Linked DNA regions of Caenorhabditis elegans. The protein of the gene in region 1 purifies or fractionates together with the protein of each later gene. This does not show direct contact. Each region holds a gene or a part of one and is shown on either strand. Other genes may lie near its edges.

Region 1 (5,553 bases):
AATTTAGAACAGCAATTATTCAGAAATCAGAATATCCATAAGTGGGTGTAGTTGAACTATTGGAAGAATACATTATGTTCTAAAGTTTGGTTTTTCATTGTTCAACTACATCGTTATTCAAGAAAGCTCTTCCTTGTTCTGGGAATTTTCCAAAGAACAGAATATTTTGGACACAGAAAAAAATGGAAAAGTAGAAAACATTTAAGATGATAAGCAGGCAAAGTTGCAACTCCCGTGCCTGCCTCATTTTTTTAAAAGTTCATATAAAGGCAAATAAATATGTTTTTAGAAGTTTTCCAGATTTTTAAATCAAAACGAATTTGACTTTAAAAAATTTAAAAAATTTAAACAATACTCAAAATCAAAACACAATGTACGTAAGAGTTGGCGTGTTCAAAATGGCCTACTAAGAAACATTCTAAAACCATGGAACTATGTTGAAGTCCTCTTTTCCATTTTTTGTCTAGTTTTGCAAACTAAAGCTAACGACGTCATCACTGTCAAGTTTCCACGAAAAAAATCTGAACTTTTTTTTGGAAAAGACTCATAAGAGAAGTCTCTAAAACGGCTTTAAAAACAAAATAAAAACAAGAAAATAGTTCTAAAAATGGCGAAAATTGCTGCCCGGGGAGTTGATGATGTTGGAGAAATATTAGAACTTGTTATCGCCCTTTAAAAGAAAAATTCAAAAGTTCAATTCTCAGATTGTTATGAAACTTTTTATACTTGTGAATATCTCTTGGGAAAAGACATATGCTGAGCCTAATTGTCCTGGCAGGAGAAATTTCGAAAGATGAATCACTTTTTTGTCTGAAGGAGATGACCTACTGGGAAAGCGAAAAATATGATTAATTGGTAGAAGTTTCGAGAAGGAAAATGTGAAAATGAAAAAGGACAAGATGAAAATCTATGGCTCTGGGAATTTTTGATTTGTTGGGGTGAATAAAAATTGAGTTAACTCCATTTCAAATTTTTTATAACTGAAACGAAGAATGGCCTCTTTCGAGTGCTCAAAAGACCTATGAAATCATTGTTCGGAAACCGACACTAAAGCTGCCAACTTCCAAATAAAGGTCGTGGTTGCCGAAAATTATGGAGTTCGGAAACTTTGACAATTATTTGTTTAGAAAACTCAGAAAAATTCAGAATATGTTGAATCACTCTTTCAGATAAAAAAAAATCTAAAACAAAAATCTCCTTTCAATCTAGAATCCCATCTAAAACCTAAATAATGAAAAAATAAATTACTTGACTCAAGATGAAAGATTAAAGAATAGCGAACATGGCAAATCTCTGAAATCGCATAAATGTCTACAACTGAAAAATGTGCCCAAAAACAAATAAAGTAGTAGGTAGCGGAAGATGAACAAGAAGAAAACCTTCCTATTCACAAAATTTGCCTGCTTTCCAGTTGGTCTCCAAAGTGTTATTTATGTCACTACTCCATTTCTTTTGCATATTCTATGAATTTGGAGAAAGGAGTCAAATTCGAGCTGTTTAGAGCCAAAACAAGTTAAAAGTATTCAAACATGATCTGCACTCGTTGTGGCTTAATAATTAGTACAGGGCCGGCCATAATTGTATATAAACTTTTGTTTTCAGGGCTACTACTCAGTTTAGCTAATGAGGTATGTAGTTAGAACAGCCTTATAAATTCTTGAAACAAAAAAATCGTTTGTAGACTTTTTCTTGCCGAAGTAGGCTTCGTTTAATATAGTTGTTCTTGAGTTATAAGGATTGCAAGATACACTGTTAAAAAAAAAACCCGTGATATGTCGCAAACTTCTGCCATAATTCTCTTCGTCAAATATTCTGATACTATAAAAATGAGGGCAAGATTATGAGCAAGAGTTTGAAAGCCAAAAATCTTTTTTCAAGTGTCTAGCTTCGAACTCATTCAATTTTATGCCAAATAAAGTTCTGAACACGACGTTTGTACACAAGGTTTGCTCCAAAAGAGCGAGCCAATAAGTAATCACGTTCTTATGCCAGGAAAGTTCAGCCACGCAATGCCTTCTATTTTTTAAAAATAAATTCCACGTTATTGAATATTTTTCAACAAAAACACTTTATTACTTCAAATATTCTTTATGAATCCAGTGGATTTTATCAAAAAACCAAAAGAGAACATAATGTCGAAGTGAGTAATTTTTACTTCATTTAATATTAATAATCTCCCAATTTCAGAGATCAATCTTCAATGTTATTCTTTAAAGATCCGGAGAACAAAAATAAAAATCATGTGTCACATGTTGAAATCGGAGTTCCTGATCCAATCGAGGAACTGCAAAAACTGCAAAATCGTCCAGAACCATGCACCGTTCTAGCTGTCATCACGACCCTGGTCATCCTGGTGCTTCTCATTTTTGCTCTCGGAGCGCTGGGTCTCCATGATATTTCGGCGTTTAAATGGGAACCAAAACCCCAGAAAGCACTGAGAATTATGCTGGATCTACCGTGTCAAACAAAGGAATGTGTAAAGTATTCAGCTGAACTGGTAATGGTTTTACAATATATAATCACATTACAAAATATTTTCAGCTTGAATTGATGGATTCTTCGGTGAATCCTTGCGAAAACTTTCATCACCACGTGTGCAATGGCTTCAATCCAAGAAAGAAAGACTTTGAGAGACTCATGAAATTGATCAATATTCAGGAAAAGCCTGATCATCGAAAGGCAGTTAATGTTGTGAGGAGAATGTTGAGCAAATGTGCAATGGGAAAAACTGAAGAGATTCATCAAGTTGGACGATTGAGGTAGGCAGTGGACTTTAGAAAACCTCTGCTGACTCAAGAAATTTTTTCAGCTCAATCATCCTCCCTGGTCTTCCATTCCCGCTTCTCAACAACTCATGGACAAAACCATCTGATCCTATTTCTACTTCAAATTCATCCACGACATACAGTTACCCATTCCTTACAAAAATATTGGCTCATATCATACTTCACAACCCCGATGATGCTGGATTTGTAGGAATCAAACCATCAAGTGACTCTGAATTCTCGTTGTTCGTCGTCAAACCGTTCTCACCTGTTCTCACAAACTTTAAGTTTCGGAATATGTACGATATTTTGAAGCGAAATGCACCGGAGAGCTCCACAAACGGAATGATAGATCTGGAATTCGATAGACAAAGGCAGCTGAATGATGTGATCAAGCTTCAGACAAAATTGGAAAAGGTAAAAGTTGAAACGTTTAAGTAGAATAATAGTAACAAATTTATCTCAGATCGAGTTCAAAGCTGACCCAGAAGTCGTTAATCTGACTGAGATTCAAAGACAGATGCCAATAATTGATTGGAAGAGACTGATTGATTCCTGGATTCCGAATGGCTATGCTCACCTGAAAGAAAAAGTATATGGCTTCAATACCAGTTATTATGAAGAGGTGAAACATAATTTTCTAAAAATATCTAACTCTTTTTTTTTTCAGATAAATGCGATCATCTCATCTACACCTTCTGAAACTATATACAACTTTCTTTTTCTTCGCTTTTCGTTCAAATTCCTTCGAACAGAAGTAGCATCTGATCTGGAAGATACTTGTCTTCATCAGCTGTCAACAACCATTCCTGGAAAAATTGTGCTCTATGGATCCGAAGAACCGGAAGCATTGAACCTTCTAAATGGAATGCTCCACACAATTAAAGATCAACTGAAAAGATCGTTAGCTACATTGAAATGGATGGACAGTCGAGGAATCGAAGAAGCACAGAAAAAGTTTAATAAAACGAAAACAGTTTTTGGATTTACTGGAGAAGATTTGATTGATGAGCTTGTTGGGAAGATAACACCGGAGTCCAATTATATATCAACTCTTCAAAATGTTCTTCTTTGGCAAACCAGAAATATGTTTAAGTCTGTCGCAGAAAACAATGTGACAGTGTTTTTGAATTCGGAAGTTTTCTATTCAGTTGAGAAAAATGAAATAAGTAAGTCTTTCTCTGAAATTCTAAAAAAAAAGAAATTTCTTTCAGCAATTTCACGAGCTCTTCTCCATTATCCTTTCATGTCTGCAAACCTTCCAAACTATACAAATTTCGCAACTATCGCGTCCAAAATTCTTCCCCAAATGATACACATTTTCGATGAACGTGGCAGGTTCTACGATTCGGACGGGAATCATCGTAATTGGTGGAATACTGAAACAGAACGATACTTCCAAATAATAGTACAATGCTTCGATGGGATGATGGTAGGAAAAAACAAATTAGTTCAAGACCAATAAGTTATTATTCAGCAAAACGTCTTTGGCGTCAGCGTCAGTATTGGATGGAATGCTTATGATTCAACTAAAGAACCATATGCCACGCTCCCAGGAATCCAGCAATCATCAGATGAAGCTTTGTTTTTCTACAGCATGGTGAAGGTATGCGGTCTAATTAGTAAATTTTAACATAAAACAGTCGTTTCAGACAATGTGCACCTCGGATCCGGATAACGTGAATGAAGCTCTAGCGAGTGTTCCACAATTCAATTCGGCGTTTAAATGTAACAACGGAACAAAGATGAACCCTCCGACGAAATGCAAACTGGCTTCATGAGTACTTAGTTTTCAATGAATGTGTTTTTATTACATAATAGACTAACAGCTTAAAAAGGAGTCGTTAACATTATAACAGATCATCATTCAAACTCGGAAAGACTCTCCGACTAGTCTTCCCATCCGGTCTGGAAATAAACGCCAAGGCGATTGGAAGAAGCGAGGAAGTTTCATTTTTTTTGTGGTTGGCAGTTTACGAAAACTGCATAATATTGCGATTTTTCAAATAGTTCAAAAAATGTTACAGAAAAGTGGGCTTAGTTCTAGAAATTTCGATCGTTTTAACCAATGTTACACTCGGTTAAAACAATTATCAAGTTTCATTAATAATAAATAAGTAAACTTTCTTATTAGCAAAAATCATCTTCCTAACAATTTAATGAAACGTGACACTTTGAAAAATGCGAAAATTAATATGAAACATTGAATAAACAAAAAACACAACAAATCGATTTTCAATTATTTCGTTTTTTTACCGATTACAAAAATCGGAATCGTTGAGAAAATGGATTCTCAAAAACTACGCACAGAAGGAACCCGAGTGATTGACATCGTGGCTGATTATTGGTATGGACTAAGGAAAAGAAAACCACTTCCCAATGTGAAACCTGGATTTATGACTGCTTTAGTAAGTTTTAAAATTCTCTTTTTTTTTAATTATTCACTTTTTAAAGGTTCCATCAACACCACCAGAAGCGCCGGAAGAATGGGAGAAAATCTATGGCGATTTGGAGAAAGTGGTTTTTAATCCAGCAACTCACTGGAATCATCCACACTTTTTTGCCTATTTCCCAGCCGGACTTGCTTATCATTCAATCATGGCTGATATTCTTAGCAGTGGACTTTCTTCAGTTGGATTCTCGTGGATGGCGTGTCCTTCAATCACTGAATTGGAGAAAGTTATGTTGGATTGGGTTGTCACTTTGATGGGACTTCCCGAACATTTCAAGAATTCACACCCGGGCCCTGGTTGTGGAATTATTCAGTTCTGGCTCAGACTCAATTCTT
Region 2 (4,490 bases), 1.2 Mb from region 1:
CCTTCATTCCATTGATCTAGATACACTCTTGGATTTACTGTCTTCACCATCCATTCTACTGCTGCTCTCGACAATGATCCTTGCACTGATCCTTTGGAAACTCGTAACGTACTGTTCAAGTACGTAGAGTTGAGAGCAGACTCTGAAATATCTTAATTCAGGAGTGTAGAGACTCCTGTAAAACAAACCATCTCGAAATAATCTCAACGTTTTCAAATCCCACTTCAAACTTTCATCTATTCTCCCGAATTCCTTGTCAATATCAATATCGTTGGCACCATCAAGAATCTCAAATATTCTAGATATTTCATAAACTGATTTTCCAACGACGTCATGATTCTAAAAACATTGCATTTTTACAATTATTAATAAAAGTTTTCCCCACTTGCATCAGTATAAAATAATCCCAATCCGGTAATTTTACCATCTTCTCCATGCATTTGTAGTGTGCTAAATTCATATTATGACCCGCTGAATCTATTCGAAGTTCTTCTGAAACTCTAGTTAATTTAAATTATACATATATTCAATCAGTATACCATCTATTACAAATACATTTGGAAGACATCTACCAAGTCTCCTAATTCTCCATTTAAAATCATCTTTGCTTTTTGAATCAATGAAAAAGCAAAATATATTCTGTGGATGATATGACATTTGTACTTGTTTCTCCAAAAATTCATAGTCTTTATAGACAACTCGTGCAAATACAACACCAATTTTCAACGGCCTCAAATGAAAATTGAATGGAATAATTCGATTTTGAATTGAATAACATGACATATCTAAACTCTCCAAATTTGAGCTCAGGGGTATTCGATGCTCACCAATAAACTTTTCGATATAAGACTGAAATTTTATGTTTTTGGGTTATTTTTTAAACATTTAAATATTTAAAATTACTAACTCTATCATTTGCCAAAATTCTTCCACAATCCAAATGAGCTGTCTCTTTGCGTCTCCATAATATATTAGTTTCCTTTGAAGTCCAAAAACTCATTGTTATTCTAGGTGCCATTGAAAAGATCACAATTGTACAAACAAGCATTGTGAGTAATAAGAAGAAGAAGGTCCTGGAGTATTTGGAGCACATTTTGGAGAAAACGGAAAAGAATGGATGACAGATGGAAATGAAAAGAGAAAGAATGAAGAACCAGAGCAGACATTGGAAAGAATCCAAACATTTCATTCATTTCAAAACATTTACATCCACTTGGGTCTCACACTTTCTTTTTTTGATCTTCAAAAGTTGAGGGTTCTTGAGGGTTATAAATTAGTATTCAAATATTTATTTTTGTTTGTTAAAATTGTTTTTTTTTGTTGTTTGATCGAGAAAAGTACAGTCATATTTACAGATGGTAATTTGTTTAAATGGATACCTTCGCATTGCAGAAAACAAACTAAACAATTACCGTTTTTGAATTCTGGAAAAAATAAAAAATTGCTCTCATTTTCCTATTTGTGAAGGCATTATTCCTTGTTTAAAGTTACATTTTTCATAAATCTATTTGTAATATTTAGAATCGAGGAAATAGTTTTGAATCTTCTCATCTTTTATCTATCTATCAAATTGGTAGTTACCAGTAAATCGAATAGCCTTGAACTATAAAACTGGTAATTCTTAATAAGGAAACTAAAAGGTATTCATCCTTATATTTATCTAAGATTTTACTTCCCTCCGTTTAATTCAATTTTTTTCAAAAAGTCACCTTTTCAATAGCCGCATCAATTGTGCAATAGGTTCAACAGACAATATAGTTTGATTGGATAACAATTTGTACCGGAACAAACTGAGAAGATAACCCTATCATATTGGATTGACCCACCCTTTTTATCAACAAGCAAGTGAAGGAAATTTATTGCATGTTCGTTTTGAAGGAAAATATTCATTGCTACAAGTTATTTTTATCACAATCAGTGAATAAAATTAAAAAAAGATATGTATTAATTTTTTAAGCAAAAATATACTTCAAAATTCAATTTCATTATCATTTCTGCGCGCGGAACCAAAAAATTTGACAGTTTTCTTCAAAACCCAATAAATATCTGCCTTTAATATTTTTGTATACATAGATGAAAACTTTATCAATAAAAGTTTTGGCAAAAAAATACAGTAACCAATGCTGATGAAATCAACTTCCACGGAGTTTCAAGTTCTCTTGGTTTGTGGTGTCTCAACGAGAAAAGCAAACGCGCTCCATTGTTACAGAAAAATTGTGAGTTTTTTATTTCTCATTTTTGCTTCTTTTCAAGCCAAAAATGCGAAGTTTTATATGGATTTTATCATTTTTACAAGGTAATTTCTTATTTATTTTTTGCAAAAAACTTCAATTTCAGTTTGCCTTGCCGGGCGTCTTCAAATCATTTTGCCAAACGACCACATACTTGATTCGAGAAATTCGTCTTTCGATTCAGTTTCATTATTAAATTTCAACAAGAATGCTTTTGGACTTGGTGCTGCAGTTGGAGGTAGGTAACATTTTATTAATATAAAATGTTTTATTGCCTTATTTCAGCTCATCAGGCGATCGGCGATGAAAAATTGTTCCAAAAACCGAAGGCGTTGTTGATAATCGTTATTGACGGACTGGAAAACTTTGATTATGACGGACATGCTTTCAATTTTACGGATAAATTCCAGCCAAATCAAATTCAAGAACATTTCAAACAACAGTTTGGTGATGATATGATTCACGCCGAAGTAAACTCCTCTGGAATATTTGGATCATCGTTGTTTAAAAGAAATACTGAGGGAAACCATGCTAATTACGATACTTATAAGGAGGATCTTCAAAATATGTATCGACTTTCGGATGCAATCATGGAGAAAGATCGAAAAAATGCCAATGTTGTTGACTACTACCGTGTTCACCTTGACGTCTCCAATGCGCGAACAGATATGGAAAGAAAACAATTGGCAGAAAATATCAAGCGAGGTATTGATACATTACAAGATGCTATCAAGAACAGTTATGGCGGGAATGTGGTGGCTGAAATCTATACTCACGAGAAGCCTGATAGAGATGAGAAGGCTAGAATTAAGCTGTTACAAAAAGTATTGCAAGTGACTCAAGCTAGATATATCGATTATCCGGCAAGTGCGGCCATTATGATGTTTGTGGGATTCTCCCTTGTCTTCGTAAGTCCCATGTTAATTCATTCTTTCTAATAAAAAATTAACTTCAGGCGGCAGTTGCGATGTTGTGGTTGATGTTTGATGAAAGTGATATGGCCAAGAAAACGATCCTGGTTCGACTATCGATGGGTAGACAGAAGAAAGATTAGAATTAGATTTATAAATGATTGTAAAAACTGTATTTTCATAATTTATTTCGCTTTACGGCTTTACGGTTCTTTTTTTTGCATTTTTGACTAATCGCTTTCCGGTATTTGTTGCCATGTCATAAAGACTTCAGCTTTATGCATTTGAAACACTATCAGTGTATCAGGTTCTAAACCTTAAGATATCTCATTTTTAAATTTATCAATGCAATCCAACAGTATCAATTCAGAATGCTAAAATCGGCGTCATCGTTGGTGCGAAGTTTCATAAGGCCGCAGACATTCAGGTTATGTAGCTCCAGTTCAACCACGCAGGGATCTCCTTCGGTTAGCTCTGACGATGAGCCCGTAATTTTGGAGAATAATCCATACACAAAAGAGCCACGGAAGTGCCTCTTGTGCTCAACTGGTGTTGAACTCGATTACAAAAATTCGAGACTTTTGCAGGTACGAAATGTTTTAAACTGGAGCTCGGTAAAATCCAATTCTTTTTTTCAGCAATTTGTTTCCACATTCTCTGGGCGTGTATACGATCGTCACATCACTGGACTTTGCGACGAGAACAAGAAGAAGCTGATTGAAGCAATCGCGGTATGATGAACTGGAATAGAGTTAGATAAACGATATTCTTTATTCAGAAATCGCGTCGTGCCGGGTTCATGCCAATCTTCGTAAAGGATCCAAAGTACACCAGAGACCCGAAATTGTTCGACCCGCTCAAACCAATTCGACCACATTCGTTTGCTTAAAATATTTTGTTTTTTTAAAATTACTATTACTGTTTGTTTTTATTTTTAGAATATAAAATTTTCTCTAGACAATCTGTTTCTGTGAATAGTCATCAAGTTAGTGGATACTCCTGCCCACTTTAATACCGCTGGTGATACTAATTAGTAAAATTTTATTTTACTTAAAATTCAACTATTTTTAGATTATGGGCGATGCTGAGAGCGAAATTCAAATTCGCGCATATTGGAATCGACGAGCTGAAAATGTCGATGGAGATGAAAGTGTGGCTGACTTTCTAGCGTAAGCATGAATTAAAAATGTTTTATATATCCTAACTGTTTCGATATTTCAAAAATTATTTACCTCGGGTCTGCCTGATTACTCCTAAAATTAACTATTTATATCCCAGGTATCTTCGAATCGTGGATCAAAACGAATTTCAAATTGCCCTCCCAACTCTGTGCATTGTAGCTGCCAAA

Evidence for each region. Proteins that work in one complex are often made in the same cells at the same time.
Region 2: the proteins of nep-5 (region 1) and T14B4.3 fractionate together in Caenorhabditis elegans (co-fractionation; one large-scale study listed by BioGRID). This does not show direct contact.

What each region holds. Positions count from the first base shown.
Region 1 is NC_003280.10:5,486,061-5,491,613, forward strand, and holds nep-5 (NEPrilysin metallopeptidase family), read left to right. Parts: upstream 1-2,083; 5' UTR 2,084-2,090; coding exon 2,091-2,140; intron 2,141-2,187; coding exon 2,188-2,497; intron 2,498-2,541; coding exon 2,542-2,759; intron 2,760-2,809; coding exon 2,810-3,182; intron 3,183-3,231; coding exon 3,232-3,390; intron 3,391-3,435; coding exon 3,436-3,934; intron 3,935-3,979; coding exon 3,980-4,197; intron 4,198-4,242; coding exon 4,243-4,371; intron 4,372-4,417; coding exon 4,418-4,546; 3' UTR 4,547-4,578; downstream 4,579-5,553.
Region 2 is NC_003280.10:6,732,691-6,737,180, forward strand, and holds T14B4.3 (VWFA domain-containing protein), read left to right. Parts: upstream 1-2,246; 5' UTR 2,247-2,259; coding exon 2,260-2,296; intron 2,297-2,337; coding exon 2,338-2,469; intron 2,470-2,516; coding exon 2,517-3,139; intron 3,140-3,186; coding exon 3,187-3,285; 3' UTR 3,286-3,420; downstream 3,421-4,490. Other genes in the region: T14B4.9 (Core-2/I-Branching enzyme), read right to left, coding at 1-142, 189-339, 386-492, 540-849, 908-1,093; mrps-18.C (28S ribosomal protein S18c, mitochondrial), read left to right, coding at 3,514-3,729, 3,781-3,873, 3,921-4,031; T14B4.1 (tRNA/rRNA methyltransferase SpoU type domain-containing protein), read left to right, coding at 4,217-4,311, 4,421-4,490.